Linked DNA regions of Astyanax mexicanus. The protein of the gene in region 2 interacts with the protein of the main gene of each other region in a pairwise test. Links are inferred from orthologs where the notes say so. Each region holds a gene or a part of one and is shown on either strand. Other genes may lie near its edges. The genes, in order: psmb8a and lsm1.

What was found.
Region 1: the proteins of lsm1 (region 2) and psmb8a interact in binary tests that used the Homo sapiens proteins (3 or more experiments, as listed by UniProt). The link is inferred for Astyanax mexicanus from reciprocal best matches to the Homo sapiens genes LSM1 and PSMB8.

Annotation. Positions count from the first base shown.
Region 1 is NC_064410.1:22,167,175-22,176,741, forward strand, and holds psmb8a (proteasome subunit beta type-8), read left to right. Parts: upstream 1-4,903; 5' UTR 4,904-4,998; intron 4,999-5,320; 5' UTR 5,321-5,326; coding exon 5,327-5,467; intron 5,468-6,862; coding exon 6,863-7,004; intron 7,005-7,153; coding exon 7,154-7,265; intron 7,266-8,644; coding exon 8,645-8,774; intron 8,775-8,918; coding exon 8,919-9,123; intron 9,124-9,352; coding exon 9,353-9,441; 3' UTR 9,442-9,558; downstream 9,559-9,567. Other genes in the region: psmb13a (proteasome 20S subunit beta 13a), read left to right, coding at 73-134, 1,542-1,635, 1,843-1,940, 2,133-2,273, 2,681-2,796, 2,886-2,944, 3,089-3,240, 3,671-3,782. UniProt on the Homo sapiens protein: The proteasome is a multicatalytic proteinase complex which is characterized by its ability to cleave peptides with Arg, Phe, Tyr, Leu, and Glu adjacent to the leaving group at neutral or slightly basic pH.
Region 2 is NC_064419.1:32,065,832-32,075,588, forward strand, and holds lsm1 (U6 snRNA-associated Sm-like protein LSm1), read right to left. Parts: upstream 4,451-9,757; 5' UTR 4,334-4,450; coding exon 4,288-4,333; intron 3,667-4,287; coding exon 3,598-3,666; intron 3,113-3,597; coding exon 2,997-3,112; intron 2,386-2,996; coding exon 2,215-2,385; 3' UTR 1,832-2,214; downstream 1-1,831. Other genes in the region: bag4 (BAG family molecular chaperone regulator 4), read left to right, coding at 5,664-5,798, 7,213-7,338, 7,612-7,806, 7,976-8,242. UniProt on the Homo sapiens protein: Plays a role in the degradation of histone mRNAs, the only eukaryotic mRNAs that are not polyadenylated. Probably also part of an LSm subunits-containing complex involved in the general process of mRNA degradation.

The DNA.
Region 1 (9,567 bases), on a different chromosome or scaffold from region 2:
CAACCTCACACAGTCCTCCTGCTGCCTGTGAGACACAGCGAGCTGCCCGTAGCCCGGTTTCTCTCCGCGGACATGGCTCACCCGTACGTGTTCGAAGCGCCTCAGTCTGGGTTCAGTTTCGAGAACTCGACCCGGTAAGTTTAATTCAGTTTACTAGAACTCGAATCAATGATTTCAATGCCAAATGCGCAGTAACTTTAGATATGTATATTTATTTACATATATTTTTTAGAGTAGAGTGTGTGTACTGAGAGCTACACTCTCACCAAAAGCGAAAGTATTTTAATACGTATTTTAATTTTTTAATTCGACAAAAACGCGTTATTTAACCTCATATATTTCGCTTCACATGAAGTTTTCACAACAAACGAGGAAGTTTGTTATATTAGCTGCTTCTGAAACATAATACGGTGAAATCTTTTATTTTCGTTTGAGGAAGCATCGCATCGCTCTGAGGAGAGAGATACGCCGTGACCTGCCGTGACACGATCTGCAGCCGCGCTCATATAGCAAGCAGTTTTAGCCTTAAACTCAAACTACTGAGTCCTAATTCATCGCCAGATTACAGATGTCTGTGTATTAAACTCCCTGCTGTCGGAAAATTCTAGCAGGGACTAAAATTGAACACATACAGCCCTAAATAAGAGACCTCTTAAAAATTAGGAGTTTCTTTGATTTTACCAAATTGAAACCCTCTGGAAAACAATCAGGAGGAAGATGGATGATCACAGCCGTCAAACCAAGCTGAACTGCTTGATTTTTTTTGTACCAGGAGTGGCACAAAGTTATCCAAAAGCAGTGTGAAAGTGTGAAACTGCATTTAAAAAACAGTGTTATTTCACCAAATATTGATTTCTGAACTCTTAAAACTTTATGAATATGAACTTGTGTTCTTTGCATTATTTGAGGTCTGAAAGCTCTGTATCCTCTTTATTTTAGCCATTTATCATGTTCTGCAAATACATGCTCTAAATGACAATATTTTATTTGGAATTTGGGAGAAATGTTGTCCATAGTTTTTACCTATAAATAGCAAACTCAGAGAAAACTGATTCAGAAACTAAAGTGCCCCATTTAATTCTGAGCACTTCTTCATTAGAGGAGCACCTGACAGGGGACCTGTTCATGTTTACTCACCTTAACACCATACACCTATACATCCCATTTTTGTCCTAAATGATAGTAAATGGTTCTTTATCCTACAACAGCTTGCTATACATTATCCCTCTATAGCTTGATTTTCATATTTGTTTAGAAAAAAAACTACATTTTGACAGTGGTGATCTAACCATCAAAAAATTAGGAACCACTGTTTCAACATGATTGCCTCGTTATGTATCTGTATAATGTTGCCCAGAAGCAATAAATCAAAGAAAGCTCTTTTAGTAAGAAGATAAAGAAAACATAGCCACAACAATAAAAAAAAACATTAAAAGCACAATTCAATAATCAAAAGTGTGTTTTTTCGTAGCCTGTAAGCAACACCATGACATAATGTCTTAGGATTGTCAGCTACCTTATCATTTGCCTTTGTCTTTCAGAAATGTTTTATTGAACAATGTGCTTGGAGAACAGAAGACAAAGACACCTAAACCCATGAAGACTGGAACCACAATTGCAGGAGTGGTGTATAAGGTATGAAACATCAGAAGAGAGTTCAAAATGTAGGATTATTCAAATCATATTCTTTATATGTGATGTTTAATATTGGTTTCTATCTATCTATCTATCTATCTATCTATCTATCTATCTATCTATCTATCTATCTATCTATCTATCTATCTATCTATCTATCTATCTATCTATCTATCTATCTATCTATCTATCTATCTATGTATGTAGGATGGTGTGGTACTGGGAGCAGACACAAGGGCCACTTCCAGTGAAGTAGTCGCTGACAAAATGTGTGCCAAAATTCACTACATTGCTCCAAACATATAGTAAGTGGCACCTCCACTTGTAAAAAACATAACATTTTTCCTCAATATTACTCATAATTTAATGTTAGAAAGAGTGGTGTATCATAAAATTATCTAATTGTTTTTAAACCTTCTGACTGATTGTGTACACTACTCAGATTTCATACAGAAAAATATAAGAGGTTGCAACTGTCTGTTTTTTTATGTGTTTAGCTGCTGTGGAGCAGGGACTGCTGCAGACACAGAAAAAACTACAGACATGCTGTCATCCAACCTCACCATTTTCTCCTTGAACAGTGGCAGAAATCCTAGAGTGGTCATGGCAGCTAACATCATACAGGATATGCTCTTCAGGTTGACAAGCACATTCCATTTTCACTTTTTGAGATCTGATTTTACTTTCAGTGCCCTTTTACAAAGGGGGATTCTCTAGTCATGAAATTATTTGGTGGATGAGAATGTAATGTCTTGCATCTGCTGTAGTTTCTAAAAAAATATGAGATGCAGCAAACAATCTTTATAAATTTGTTTGTGGAACACATTCCATTTACACCTGTTTTTAATGTGGTTAAGATCCCTCTCTCCAAATGTGACTTGGTCATTCGTTCATATCACATTCTGGCTGTGGCTTCTCTTGCGATCAATTAAAATCTGCATGTGGTCCAACCAATAAAATGTATGTTAATGCAAGTGATAAAGTGATAAAAACTGACATTTATTGTTGCTTTTTTGTTTACTTTAATGTTGATGTCATATATCAGGTATCGAGGTGGGATTGGAGCGAATCTCATTTTGGGAGGGGTCGACTGCACTGGGAGTCACATCTACAATGTGGGGCCTTTTGGAAGCATGACCAAGGTTCCATTTATTGCAATGGGTAAGTTTATGACATCCAGAAGTCACATTCAAACATGTAATTTAATGATACTGCAGTTATTTGCTAATTCAATCAATGGTTGTGTTTAGGATCTGGAGATTTAGCTGCTATGGGTGTTCTGGAAGACAGGTTCAAACCCAGTCTGGAGGTACTTGGCTGTTTTAAAATAATCTGATTCTTCCTTATGTTCAATTTACTTCAGTCACAGACAACCTTAGTAATAAAAGGTATTTATAACACTGTACTGGCTTAAAATGAACCAACTCTCACATTGTTTCATCCTGTTTTCTAGCTTGAGGAGGCCAAGTTTTTAGTGCGCGATGCCATCCATGCAGGCATCATGAGTGACCTGGGTTCAGGAAACAACATTGACATCTGTGTCATCACCAGGGAAGGGGTGGACTACATAAGACCCTATAAGGAATCTGAATACACGAACAAGAGGTAAAAAAGGACATTTCAGTCAGGTTATGATCACATTATTACGCTGAAGTGACCTTTTTTTGCCTTATTGTGACACGTATAAGATTTTTTTAAGTTTTGTGGACATGTCAAATCTGACCTTTCAAAGATTTTAGTCAATTTTATAGGTATATTAGTTAATATGCTAGCAGTACCTTATTGGACTATTCAGTATTACTGTATTATGCACAGGCAAACAGCTGTACAAAGTGTAATCACCCTGCACTTTAGCAGTTTGTTGACAATAATTCTCTTTTTTTATTGTGTTATGTGATCGTCTGAAGGCTTAATATGGACTACACTGAATAAGGGTCTTAAAAAAGTCCTGCCTAGAGCTAATCAATTATTAGAAAAAATCTGAGTACTTGAGTGGGTAATATTTCCTTTTTGTTTGTTCCTCTCTCTCTCCCAGACAGGAAAAATATAAGTATAAACCAGGTACAACTCCTGTTTTGACAGAGAAGGTGGTTCGCTTGGAGCTGGAGCTTGTGCATGAGAATGTTCAAACAATGGAAACATCCTGAGCCAAACTCCTGTGCCCTCTGTTTTTGAAAATAAACTGGTGTCAGAAAGCACAAAAATCACATTTTCAGTTAGTTGTGAATATGATAATAAATAAATGACCAAATTAGACTTGTGTATGTTCTGTTTTGTTTTCATGGTTAAAGGAAAAATACAACCATGTTTGTGTTTATTGCAAGCTGACATTATGAGTGGTGTACAATACCAAAGTAAATGTAATCAGTTACTGTTTAAAAAAATATGTGTGAATTTACTGAAACATCTCTACCTTGGGTAACTTTTTACTTTACCTCTACTTCATTTTAAACCCAGATATTTTACTTTTTACTCCATTATGTAAAGTCTGTCATTACACTACAGGCTTATGTGTGCATAAAAACATTAGATTTTAAAACAAACTTAAAGGAAGCACACCAATCAGAGTACACTGTATGTTTTGCACTTGTTTTAACCTGTTGGACACCTAGCTATCCATCACACGCATACCGGGGAGCGCAACATCTGTGAAAAATGGTAAAAAGGTAAAAAGTGGGGGGTATGAATTGAGGACTTTTGCTTTTACTGAAATAACATTTTACCCTTGAGTATTACCACTTTAATTCAAGTACACGGTTTATGTGTTGTCAATATAAATTTTGTAATAAATCATTACTATATTTCAGAGGTTTTAAATTGGGCATATAGGGATTAGCTATCGTTTTAGCATCACATATTAATTTACACTTCCTTTGTTTTAATAAATAACCTAAGATTATTTATAAGATTATTACAGAAGAATGGAAAACTTTTCAAAAAGTTCTGAAAAACACTCAAAAACCCAATAAACATAAAAATTCTACACTTTATTCATATACTATTTTACTAATTGTTTAAATATAAGTCAATTTAATTTACCTGCATATTTTCACTGAATCGTTTAAAATCACACCACAGTTTCAGTATAGTATAAACTAGTTTTACTTGCATTGTATCATTTGTGTCACATGAGTGTTTCATAAAATAATTGCTAGTGTATAACTGAATAAGAATAGATTAAAAGATAAGAAAGGTATACAATTTGAGCAGGCAGGCTAGCAGGCTACATGAGCTGACACTTTAATAAACTACAGTTAATCTGCTGCAGCGCAACCTGTAGACGAGCTTTCTCCCTGTGAACTGATGACGCGCACAGACGAGCGCTCCTATTGGTCAGCCGGCTGTGGGGAACTCGTCAGGTAGGTGCGTGTCTTTTCTTTTCCGTATAAAAATTATTTTTTTTAACGTTAAAGTGAAAAACGTATAAAGCGAGTAAACATGAGAGTGTGTAAAATTATATAATTTTCAGAAAACCTTTAAAAATGTTTGTTAAAGCAGGAAAAATCGGCTAAAATCGAAACTAAAAAAACAGCATCCCTGAAACTTTCGGTTTCAGCTACAGATACGTTGTCTTCCTGTGATTGCTCACATTTCACCCGGTGAAAATCTGCTTTTCTCTTTTCGGGGCTAAAGCTTGTTTCAGGAAACACTAATAACTAATAATACCGTCTGCTGTTTTAAACAGAACAGCATGGCTCTAGCAGAAGTTAGTGGATATTCGTCCGTATCCGGATTTGGACTGTTTTCGAGGCAAGCTCACTTCGTGGACGGACCGAATCATTACTCTTTCGGGGTGAAATCACAAGAATTTGCCGTTCCTGTTGGAGTTGACGTAAGTAATGTGTAATAAATAACTGATGGATGATCGGCCAGTGGCCTGATTAATTCACCCTCAACTGCGTATCTACATGCATCCCTGTACAAGTACAAGTACGATTAAACTATAGCTTACTTAGAATACGTTACAGTTGAAGTGCTCATGTGGGACTAGTCACATGGATGGAGTGTGGTCTAGGTGGGATTCAGGTGGGCATGGGCTCTGATTGAATTTGTAGTCTACACATGTTGTTACTGTCTGGGACCCAGTTTGGCTTCCAAAATGTGCCTCATCATTACAGCCCACCTTAATCCCACAAGGCTCTGATCTAGGCCCCATGTGCAGTGCACAACTCAGATGGAGCCTATAATTTACCCTGTTAAAAATCCAGCTCAAGACCAGCTGGTCATCCAGTATAAAAACTCTATGCTAGTCAAGAGATAGGGTAAGTGTAATGATATCAGTGTAATGTTTATTCATTTATTTTTCAGACTGTAAAGGCTAAATGCAAAACATAGAAAATTGTACGTAAAACTTGTTTTTTATGTAGTGCAGTGTACAAGAAATAAGTTTTCATCCATTGTTCCCAATTTTAGGTTTTTCATTTCTGCACCTCACAATTGGATTTTCAGGAAAAATAAAAAAGGATCTTTTATTTATTTTCTGATTGTTCCATTTTTGTATTTTGCAAGAATACCCCCAAATTTGTGTTACAAGATACAAAAATGGACAAATCTGAAAATCAAGAGAAGATTCACTTTTTAATGTCTCTTGAAATTATTTTGCCAAAGGCTGAAATAAAAAACAATATGATAAAAAAATTGAATGAAAATCCATTTCTTCTTCACTCTGAATGGATAAAATAAAGATTACGTTTTTTTTACACAATTTTCTGTTTTTGAATTTAGCTTGATACAGTCAGAAAATTAAACTAAGTTTAACTCAGTGTGCTAAACAGTACACTGACCAGATGGCAAGCTGGTCTTGAGCTGGATCTTTTTAACACGTAACCCCTCCTGGTCCCATTACTGACCCTAATTGGGTTCCCATAGATGGAATGTGGTCTAGATAATTTTGGGGTGGGCATGGGCTCCGAGTGGGTTTGTAGCCTACATGTGTTGTTACTGGCACCCGGTTGGTCTTCCCAAAAGGAACCTGTTATCATGGTCCTATCACTAACTCTTGTTGGGGCCGTGCCACACGATTGACATTCATATGCGGTGCCAACATGGAAGCCGTAGACAAAACCTTTGTTGGTTCCCAGTTGGGGTACCCATACAGACCCAACATGGATATTTTAAGCTGCTCACTGACTTTAAAGTACACAGTGTTACTATAATAATAATAATTGTAAGTGGTATAAATCAAAAATGTTTGAACAGGCTCTAAAATCATCTTGTGTTTTTTCAGCCATCAACCTTTCTACAGTCATGCAGCTGTGAGGATGGCATATCAATTGACATGAACCATGGCACCACCACACTGGCTTTCAAGTTTCGCCATGGCGTCATCGTGGCAGTTGACTCTAGGGCTTCAGCTGGTAACTACATAGGTAAGTATACTCACATCACTTTACTTCACAAGTTACACAAAGTAAATCACATATTCACAGAATTAAAAAGTTATAGCATAATTGTAAATTACAATACCACACCCAGTCGTGTAATTTTTATACCATCCTATATGTTTTGTTTCTAATAGACACAAAGGAAGCAAATAAGGTGATTGAGATCAACCCTTACCTGCTGGGTACCATGTCCGGCAGTGCAGCAGACTGTCAGTACTGGGAAAGACTCCTGGCTAAAGAGTGCAGGTTTGTTCGAACTTGAATCGTTTGAGGATGGAGGGAGTGCACATATAAAGTTACCATCAACTGTGTGTGTGTATGTGTGCGCATGTGTGTGCATTTGTTGCCATGTCAGGAAATTTTGCCAGTCATCTCAACTCAGCAGATGCATCTATGCACCCAAAAGGAAAATCTTTTTCTTTACATAAGATAAAGTGCATTAAACATGCTATGGTGCTAATTTTCATGCAAAAAAAGTTATTCCTTATATCAACTAAATCATTCAATTAACCACATTCAGTTGATAGTTGGGTTCAATTTCCCTAACCACACCCAGGTACAATTTAATGACAGTGTTCGAATGCAAATACAGATGTAAACATTCCCAGAATGTATACAGTCTGCCAGTCGGGGAAGTGTTACAAAGCTAAGTCTTAAACTAGGTCTTTGGGAGTCATTATCCATGAATGGAGAAAATTCTGAACAGTGGTGAAACTTTTAATTTAGTGGGCAGCCTGTTAAACAAATTCAGCATGTGTGCATTGCCTACAAAAACATCTTAAGGATCTGCAGTCATTTTGTGCCTCAGTTACTATCAACGTACACAATTTTAGGATCTGTGGGATAATATTCTGTGGTGGTAGAATGTTTTGTAAGACATGGATCTTGATAAATCTGGTGGAAAGCTAACTCTGCATAAGAACATAATACCAATAGTCAGATTGTGATTTGCTTAAGCAAAGATGGGTTATGCAAAAGGACAATGATTCAAAGCATACAAGCAAGTCTATGGCCCAAAAAAAGAATTACGGTGTAGGAATGGCCAAGTCTTAAATGGACACATCGTGCCTGAAAACTCACCAGTGTAGTTGAATAAAAACAATATTGCAAAGACAAGCAAACTGAAATTCCTCAACATAAGTGATTGCAAACATTTGATTGCAGTTATTACTGCCAAGAGTGTCACAACCAGATGTTAGATGTATTTTTATGGGGACGATTTATTTTAAATATGGGTGATATGATTTAAAACCCTTATTGTGTGTTTAATTAGTTGGTTTAGTTGGATAAAAGGAAACATTTCAGTCTGACAAATAAAAAAAAGAATACTTTACTTTTCCATAGCACTTTATTAACACTGTTTTATTTTGACATAGAAATAAGGTGAAATGTCCAATAATGGAAAGCAAATAGATATGAGACGCTAACAAATTACTAATAAATAATTAAGATATCGGTAAAGTGTATTTGAACTAAATATGTCAAGTAAATTTTACTTACGATTAATTTAAATTGAAAAATTACCAGTATAGCTAATAAAAACACATTTTTTACTCCAACATAAATGACCAAAGCATAAGTGTTGCATTATGTGTGAGTGTTTTGTGTTTTGTTTGTGTCTTCAGGCTTTACCAGCTACGCAATGGTCAAAGGATCTCTGTGTCTGCAGCATCCAAGCTGCTGTCCAACATGATGATAGGTTATCGAGGGATGGGCCTCTCCATGGGTAGTATGATCTGTGGCTGGGACAAGAAGGTACAGCATTATATGTGTATATTTTTGAGATTTTATTTTTATTGATGAGCAATATATACATCTATGAGATATTTTTAAATGATGTCATGATTCGTACTGAGTTGACCTGCCACTGATCCTTTTGCCCTTGCTTTTGACATTCAGGGTCCAGGTTTGTATTATGTTGATTCCGAAGGTACACGTCTCTCAGGTTGGATGTTTTCCACGGGCTGTGGGAACAGCTATGCGTACGGTGTAGTGGATGCTGGCTACCGTGAAGATTTGACTGTAGAAGAGGCGTATGAGCTGGGCCGACGTGGCATTGCCCACGCCACTCACAGAGATGCCTACTCTGGTGGAGTGGTCAACCGTAAGTCATTTTTACTCATAATGCACTCATAATACTCATACTCATAATACACACAATACATAATACACAATACTACATTCAAAGTAGTGAATTATGTTTACAGTAGATTACAATTTGTTTCAGCATGATGAAACCATACAAATTATGCAATAAACACTACAGACTTTTCATCAAATCCATGTTTATATGCAGATTTGTGATATCTGTTTTTTCTTTTATGTCTTTGTAGTCTATCATATGCAGGAGGATGGCTGGATCAAGGTATGCAAGGAGGATGTGTCTGAGCTAATCCACCGCTACAGAAAAGGAATGTTCTGATTCCAGATCAGTTCTTATTTAGTCTGATGTAGAAACATTGTCATTGCTCTGTAAATGGGCCAAATTAAGTCAGAAATCATTTTTAAATAAAGTTTTTTTAACTGAACACTAAACAAAGTTGTATTT
Region 2 (9,757 bases):
ACGTTTTACAATGCCGTTTTAACGGGACAGATTGAAATGTAAAAAACTACAAACCCCAGCGTACATGTCGTTGCGGATTGGTGGGATGGGCGTGCATGACGCCATCACGAGACAGAATTTGTAGTTCGATTTAACTGAACGGCCTGTTAACCCGTTCAGACCTAAATTGGCTCCAGTGGTGGAAAGAAATGTAAGAATGCTATTTCTGTCTGTAATGCACAGAAAAGAAGACTCTAAAATTTTACTATGAAATTTATACAGCAAATAAATCCAGTGAACTAAAATATTTAATCAGTTTATTTTTTATTTCCATTGCATTGTAGGCCTTTGTTAATATTTTGTTTCATATTGACCTTGTATGTAATAAACCACTCCTAAACAGTAAAAAAAAAGTTTAAAAAAATAAAAAATAGCGTAATTAAAGAAAAACTTAACTGTTACTTTGCCTCAATGGCTCTAGTTTTACATTTTTTTTCCAGTGCAGTGGGCGGGGCCAAGTTACTGTTTCATTGGTTTATAAACTTGTTCATTGGCTGGTTCATGGTCTATTCTAATGAACAACAGCTCTCAAATAGTTGTGTGTGCAACAAAACATTTAGAAATAAAGAAAATACATGATGTCTGTTGTAATGGATGCAGGGCCTGAAATGGTTAAGAAATGTTGAGTACTACAACACTGAATTAATAAACACCACAATAGAAAGTAATTGTTTAAAACAGTTGCTTTTAATATTTTAAATAGAAACGTAAAATATATTTAATTGTAGCCAAATAATTTATTGTAGCCAAATAAAATAAACAGAGCAATTTGTTATATTAAAATTGAGAGATTATAATGTAAGAATGTGTTTAGCTATGTGTCAATTTAAATTTGGACTATTGACACAGTCAAGCTGCCAAGTAGTGTTAATTTATATTTAGCATCACTGTTTCCTTTACTGGCACAGGCTGCATCTTGTTTTTTCTTGTTTGTAGCAGCCTGGTAGCATTTATTTTGTTTTTAAATTCACAGTATATATTTTTTGCACCACTAGTAGCTTTGCTATTAGTTTGCCACGTTCTCCCCTTCACTGTTCTAAATGTTGCACCTTACTATTAGGTCTGATACAGCTTTTTATTTTAATAGCTTTAGCATTACTTATTTTAAAAGAAAATCTCTCAGACTTTGGGACCCCAAAACCTGCATGCCCTCTGTAAAATTAAAACACCATGTGCTACAAAAATCACACACACAACTCTTCAGGTAGAAAGTTGCTGCTTTCACTGCCATAACACAGTATTTCATTTTACTGAACACCACAAGTAGATGCTGGTGGTAGCACTTCCAGAGAACATTTTAAGACCGTGTTGTTTATCACTATGTATCCTTAACAGTCCCAAAGTCTGTTTTGGTTTTGTTTAGGTGTATCTGCATAATGTATTTGTGATGGGGCATTTAAAGCCAGTAAACTAGTTTGATACGATTTCATTCACCACCACTGTGAACAAGATTAAGTTTGGTACATTTCTCTAAAACATAACTTGTTTTCAGTATTTGGCGACACCATAAGGCAAATGAGGGAATTACACAGACACTGCAAGCTAGCAAGTAACGCTGGAGAAGTACTTGAAAAGTCACAACATAAGTGTGGAATTGAATGCTTCTCTTAAAATATTCTCAACCCAACATCATACAATTATAGAAAAGGTTAGTTTTATATATTTTGTTTTCATGTAAACTGGCTCCCCTTAAGGTAAGTAAAGAACTGGAAAGGTGGTTAATAAAATGCAATCAGGCAAGAACAGACTGCATTTCACAAATCATTTGTCGCACAAAGGAAACCACTCAATATTATTCAGTACAAAATAGGTTTAATAGAACAAAAATATCTTCAGTGCTGTTTAGCGTGATTTAACATAGCATACCAACATAAACGCCACCATAACATCACCTCAACGACACAAACACTGAGTTTAAGGTTCCATTATTCTTCTCTACAAAGTTCAAAATAAAAGCCAGCAGGCCAAGTGCTTCCGTTTGGTCCATCTTCAGTTTCAATACGGCACCATCGGCCGTAAAGGAAAAGATGGTAATGGTCACGCAGAGCATGACTTACATAAAAACAAAAACGGTCATGATCACAGTCTTCTGTGATGCATTCATTGAAGGTCACGTGTGTAATACTCACTAAAACTGAAAACAAAACAAGCAAAAAAAATTAACCTAAAGGCGTCTCAGAAATCATCCAATGTGTCTGCTTTAGGGATGGACAAGCCTCGCTCCTTTACTGCCTGTAGTTTCCGCTTCTCAGACTCCTGCTTTGCCTGCTGCTCCACCCGCTGCTCCTCCAGAATTTCCTCAATGGAAACTCTCTGAAGGATCTGATCACATTCTTTATCTAGGTCCTACAGAGCAGACAATAAACAAATCCAAACAGGAGAGTGTAGGTTAAATTCCAATAAAACATGCTTCTTAAATTCCCCTCATTCATAACACATCTCAGCTCTCCTCCTTACCCGTCCAATAAAATAGTATTATTCTACATCATGTTTATTGCACCCAGATCATAGTTGTGGGGAAAAAAAAAAAAAAAAAAGTGCGCACAATGCAGCCACACTGATTTGGTCAGTCCACCGTATTAAAAGGTTAAAGGTAAGCTCAACCCCTGGTACCAAAATAATTCCCAAATTTCCCACAGCAGGGTGTTAATATTTAACATTAACAAGTTTCTCTTATTTACCTTTTACATTTTAAATTTCCATTGAGTCCATGACTAGAATTAATCCTTGGCCAGGTATTTGGCCCTTAATGCAGGTACTGTGTTACACACCAAGGTACTATTCACACTATAGCCCTTCATTAGGTTGACTGATATTTCCCCAGCATTCTCTAAAGCCTGTCAATCCTAGCAACAACAAACAAGGCTTATGTTTAATACCATGACTCATTTTGCTTAATCTTATTTTAATGGAAACATTTCCAGAAAGAAAAATAAACAAAAACTGTGTAAACTTACTACTTCTCCAAGTAAGACAACATTTTCTCCTCTGACAACAAAGATCCCTCGGGGTATGTCTCCAAACTTCTTACCAACGTGGATACGTTCCACTGTTTGATGCAAAACTAAATTTGCTGTTAAAGAGAACAGAGATCAAATATTAACAACCTGTTAATGAATAACATACAACTGACAAGGATGGGCAGAACAATACTGATGCAAATAAACTTCAAATACTGACCGTGCTGCTAATGCAGTGAGATCATTTGTTATTCGGTAGTTAGCACCATGGCTTTATATTCTATGCACCCTCAAGCAGTTTTAAAATAGATGTACCATATAATATAGATCAGTGCATCCATGCTAAAGGCAGGTTACCACTTCATTGTGAAAGGGCATCGAATAAAAGTGAAGCATGGAACAACTTAAACGATGTCCAACTACTGCCAAGCACACCTAACGCCTCTTAATCCAACTCTGAGGAACTTTAGTAAGCTCATTTTAATGGGTGTCAGTTCAGTGGGAAACACTGGTGTACATATAAATATATTATACTGATCATACTGAGTGGTTCACTTGGATCTGTTATTTTACTTCACTGAACACTGGATCTACTTACCAAACTGATCTATACTTCTGAGGATCCCAATCAGTGTTCTCCCATCTCTGAGCAGAACAAGGTGCTTTTCTGGAAGAAAAACAAAAACAGATCAGACAGACAGAAAGCTTATTTGCTTAAAAGACATTTATACAGTTTCATGCAACAACAAAACTGGCAAAATAAGTCACACAAAACAGCCTTCCTTGGATTTGTTATGTCATCCTAAGAATTCATAAAGAGCTAGTTCAATGTTCGCCAGCTCCAGCTGTGTTATATTTAACTTTTAGCATTTTAGCAAGTCTATAAAGGTTTAATTTGCAAGTACTTAAGTGGTTGTAGTTGTTAGCGATCTAGCTAGCTATCTAATGGCCCAAACCCTGAAGACCACCTCCAGGTTCATCTTGGGAGGAATGAGGTGTAGAGAAAAAAAATACAATATGTATAAATTGTACACAGTTCGTGGTCAGAAACGCAAGATTAAACACACTTAGATTATCTTTAGCAGTAAGAAAGTTTAAGATAGCTAATTGCTTTAAATTTCCACTCCACCTTAAATAGGGCAGCAGGTACATTACTGTGCTAGCTGGACTCAGAATATAATCACTGCACCATTTAAGGTGGACCGAACAATTCCAATTACAACGCAGCTATTTGGAGTTCCAGCGGCTTTAGGCTGGGTAGTAAAGCCCAGCGGAGCTTTTAACTTACTGTCGATGTCCTCAATGAGGCTGGCGGTGCCTGGCATGTAATTCATCCTGCAGACATGCGGGGAGTTTAAAGCACAAAAAACCTAGAGACAGTGTGATATCAAACCTCCTGGCACCCAAACTAACTACAGCAGCAGCGCTCTTATAGCACAGCTTCCGGGGCACGCTCACCCCTTTAAAGGGCCCACTCGCATTTTATAAAACAAATCTTTTTACAAAAGATATGTTTTATATTCGTTTTTGAGATTTTTTTTGCAGTTTTATTTATATGTAATGTTAATTTAAACGCACCATGCATTTTTTTTTATCATTTATCTATAAGCTTAATAATTATTTTAATTATTATGCTTTTATTTTGTAGTGCTTTCTTCCCACGTATTTATTTATTAGAGATTTTATCTGTTATTTCCTTTGTAACTGTTATTTATTTATTTATTTATGTTCATTTACTATGTTTGTGATCTATTTCTGTTTAATCCTTTAGCTGTATTTTACATTTTGCTTCACTCCAACTGATTTGGAAGCTACCGTCTCAAGAACAAGGTTGTCAAAATACAGTAACTTTAACAATTAAATGTTGAATCAGAGCTTATGACAGAAATTATAGTTACAGATAAAAAATAAACAAACTAATTTTGATTTTACAAAATCATAATCATACATAAAATAAGATATCGTTTACTTTATAATATAGAACTCTCTAAAAAAAAAGAGTATCAATATATTTTGTATTTCAAATTTATAAATACATTTTGTACCCCTGACAAGGCACAGAAACATCTTAACATCTAAACATATCTCGAAATATCACGGAATAACAAATATATAATTTTAAGTATGTCATTTATCCTTGGGATTTGTATTATTTATGCAGAAAATATATTTTACAATATTTTATCCAATTAATTTTTTCAAAAGCAAAGAGTTATATTATATTTTTAATGCTTCGATTCGATTGATTAAAATACATATAAAGCAACGTACATTGTAACCCAGCTTGTGATTGGCTAGCTCGTTTTTGTGCACATTGTGATTGGCTAGATATTCCTGTCCCTATTTGTGATTGGCTGCTTGCTTTTTTCTGTGACAGTCAGCAGCACTTTGCTGTTATGCGTGAATATGTTTAATTAATTGAACTGTAGAGCTAAAGAAGGATATCAGTAACGCGCTTTTACAATAATTTTTGCCATAAAAAATATATATATGAATACGTTATAAGATTTAAATAAATATTTAATTGCTCAGGTCAGGCTACAGCACCGCGCAGATTCAGTCACACTGCAGCTACACCCGACACGATGGCGAGAATGATGGGTTAATGAATTAGTAATAATAAAAATAATCATATTAATACCAATAACGTGCTGTTAGCAGTGGATGGCCTACGACTCAGCCGGAGCGGAGAGAAGCGGGGAGGCGGCGTGGCTACTGCAACAGCAGCGGCACATGCAGCAGCCGAAAGCGGGCTGGAGCCCCGGGTACAACCCGGAGAGCAGCTGGAGCGGAGCGATGGTAAGAACCGGGGCTAGGCTAGGCTAAGCTAAGCTAAGCTAAACTACGCTAAGCTAAGCTGTGTTTGACACCAGTGTATCATTCATACAGAAGCAGCTTAACGTTTTATTTACATTTAATACAAATGCATCTTAATAATACACGGTTTTAATTCACTTTGTGTAAAAGTTTACGCAGCTGACTTTGAGCAAACTGTGCCGTCCTATTCAATTAGCTTTAGCATAGCATCTCTTACCAGCTATTGCCAGCACTTCAGTTACTAACCTTCACTTAAACTGTAGTAGCGTTGACATGTTAACCTAGTGTGTTTTCTATGTAGTTAGCTAGCTCACATAAATATACAACCCTGATTTACTTTGCAGAGAGATGTTCGTTTTATTGCCTAAGTTTGTAGTTTAGTTGAATAAGTTATCAGACCGGCCATTGCTGGCTTTGGTCAGCAAGTTGGTTATCTAGAGAAACAGGACTTATTGCGTAAAATTAGGTGGCCTTTATACAAGCAGTTAGCTATAGCTAGGTTTGCTAGTGTGTTTGGGTTGTTAATAAAAGTTGGATATCCTAAATTATCCCATTTTCTGCATAGCAGCGATATAATACTGTCAGAATTTACCAAATGTATCCCTACACTACTGGTAAAGTTGTAACCTAAGTGCACCTTATCTTCAGTGTTGGAGAACCAAAGCTTCCTGAGTGCTTCTGTTCTGTACTGAAATAATGCCTTTCAGATCTGATACCTATTTTTATTTCTATACAGTTAGCATAAAGAAACCTTTACTATGTCGGCTTCGTTGTTTTTTAATTGATTAAAACAGTCACACTTAAAATAAATTTCAATTCTTTACAGCAAATGTTGTCATAGAGCAGCTCTGCAGAGATCTGGGTCCAAAAGTGACTGCAGAATGAGTGGTCAAATAGTACTTTATTATTTCAATTTGTGCTTATTGTAAAAACAGGTCATGTATTATAAAAATCTGAGTAACTGCAGAACACATGCTAAATATTAGTACTGATGAAAGTGGTGTCCATAAGTCCTTAAAGGCTGAACAGTCCCATGCTGTCATGCAGAATCATCCTGCTGTGAAAGAATAATAGCCAGGGTTTAAAAGCAAAAAACAGGGAAAAGAGATAGCAGGAACAAAAATAACATCATAACAAACAAAGGAAAATTCGCAGAATATGGGAAATTGCCATGCAAGTAGTGGCATCAGCCTTAATGATGTACCAACATTGAGGAGAAAACAAGAGGCAGCTTATAATATGGGCTAGAGAAGGATAAACATATGTACAGTTAATGTAAAAGTAATGTTACAAAATAATTTGTATTATTTCTTCAATTCAGCCATATGGTGAACCACTAATATAGTGGTGACAACTACTATAGGACTAACATCATGTAATTTCTGCTTTACGGCAGGACTCTAATCCATATTGTGGCTATCCACCAAACTACTGGTACCCTCATTCGCATACTGCTGGACCGTATAGTAACACATACCCCTCTGGAGCAGAGGTCAATGGACAAGCACCGTACAATCCCCAGGTACAGTACCACATCTTCCTTCTTGTCTTAACACAGTGCTTAAAGTTTTTTTGCAGATTCACACTGGATAAAAAAAAATACACTGACTAATGCACTGATTAATACTGACATAAAATCATGCTACAATTATTGCCTTCATACTGTTAAAATTACACAGACTGCAGATTCATAGTAGATTAATTGTATTAGAGTAATACTAATTATATTAGAGTATTAAAGGTGTTTGGTATATATACTTTTTATGAAAATCAAACTGCTGTGCCTTTATTTCAGGCAATGTCAGGCTATCCCAATGGGGTGTACAATCCAGGACAGTACTCAGCCAATATGATGCACCCATCCAATCCGTTCTACTGCAGTGAGCAGATTCCTCCACGGCAACCACCTCAGTATCATAATCAGGGCTGCGCTGATCGGCCCGCGGGGAATTCTACTCAGCCTCCCTATGCTGTACCGCATTGCCAAGGGGTAGGTGATGATCCACTATTTAACCTTTTATGTTTGCTCATGTTTTTAGTGGTATCATTCGTTATATCGTATAGTAAAGGTCACAGCTTTTGATATGACTGGCCAGCTAAACACATACGTTTTTAAGGTTTAATAGTACAGCCTCTGTTCTTGTTCACTGTTCTTGCAGGGTCCTGGATATCCCCCTAATTCGTACCCACACTATGGAGATGGATGCCCCTCCAACCCTGGGTATCCCACCCAGCAGGCCATGCACTCAAGGCCCCAGCCTGAAGCCTGGCCCCATTCAGGCGGATATGGGCCAACACAGCCTCAACAGCAGTGGCAGCCTGGCACCCAGCCAGCTCACGGGCCATACGCTAACCATGCTAACCACGTCCGACCTCCACATCCTCCACCCTGGCAGGGGCCTGCGCCACCTCCATATGAACATAAGGTATCCAAGCTGTCTGTACATTAACTCGTCATTTTATAGCATTGATGGTCAGCAAAGAGTGGGTTTAGGTTCAGTTCTGGTCTGTGTGTCAAACTGACTAAAATCAGGCTCACAAATGTGAATTTTCTGAACCACAGAATGGAACTGTAGTATTGGAATGTATGTTTACTTGTGTGTTTGTGTCTCTGGTGCTTTTTTGTGAGCAACCATGATTTTTATGTTTAGCTTCTATTCTTGTTGCTTTACAGTAGTATCTTTAGGCTAGTTTGTTTCAAAGCTGTTTTGTTGTTTTGTATAGTAGGTGGTTGCTAAGGTGATGCTCAGTAGTTGTTTCGAAGGGTGGAGTTATGGCATCACAGATTGCTTCCAAGGGTGTTGCTACCATTTTTTTTACTGCTGTATGAAATAAGATGAACAAAGATTTTAATCTTGTTGCATGCACTGTGTTGTTTACCTTAGTTTTTTACAGATGTTATATGTTTTATTGATATGTTGTTTTATTTAATCAGGGAAAGGATAAAACACAAATGATTTGTCACCTCTATTTCTATTTTTCTGTTTTTGGTCAGACTGAGGGTTTCTAGAAATGATAAAGTGATGAATGTTGTGTTTCGAAATATCATCTTCATTAAAAGGAGGAAGAGTATAACTTTGCTAAACAGGGTTAAATAACTATTGAACATGTTACTGCTTCGGTTACCAAATATAGGTGCAAGCAGTGGTCACTTAAAACTGTTTTAAGTCAGAAAAATATAGTCAATTCATAAATAAAGGTACAATCATCACTTCAATACGTGTATCACCACAGTTAGGCCTAATTGCATGCTTTCCTCAAGACCATAAACTCCAACACACATGTTCTACACATCTAAACGTGTGGGCTAGCCAAAGATATCTTAGGTCAGATGAGGTGCTGTACTCAAGCAGAGAGTTCAGTACACAGTCTTTCAAGCCTTTCAAGTCCTTCTGTTTCTCTCTCACACACACACACGCGCACACACACAGGAATAGCTTAAAGGAACTCCAGCTTAAAGAAAGCACAGTCCATCTGACCCTCAGTGACACTGTAGTGTCCTAAAGCTGGTTATGTAATAGAACTCAGCTCTCCTATTGTAAAGCTTTACACTCTGATACTTAAAAGAAAGTCAACTGCAAATCAGTAAAAGTTAATACAGTGAGGGAGGAAAATGCACAAAAATAACTTAAAATGGAGAGTTTCTTACTTTTACAATTATTTAATTGCAAACTATATTAACCAAAGAGATTCCATGTATTGTTTGCTCAACTCAGTTTGCTTTGTTAATATACATCTATCCCTGCATTTCAGGCCTGCCATACATTTCAAAAAAGTTCAAACAGGTGTCATCAAATATCAATGATCCTTTATTGAAACATAGGCACTCTAAACTCTTTAAGACTTCCCCCTCAATTTGACTTACAAAAGTTACTTCTTTATTACTCCACATGATGGCGCTAATGAAATGAATAGGGTAAACCTGCACTGAAGAATATTGG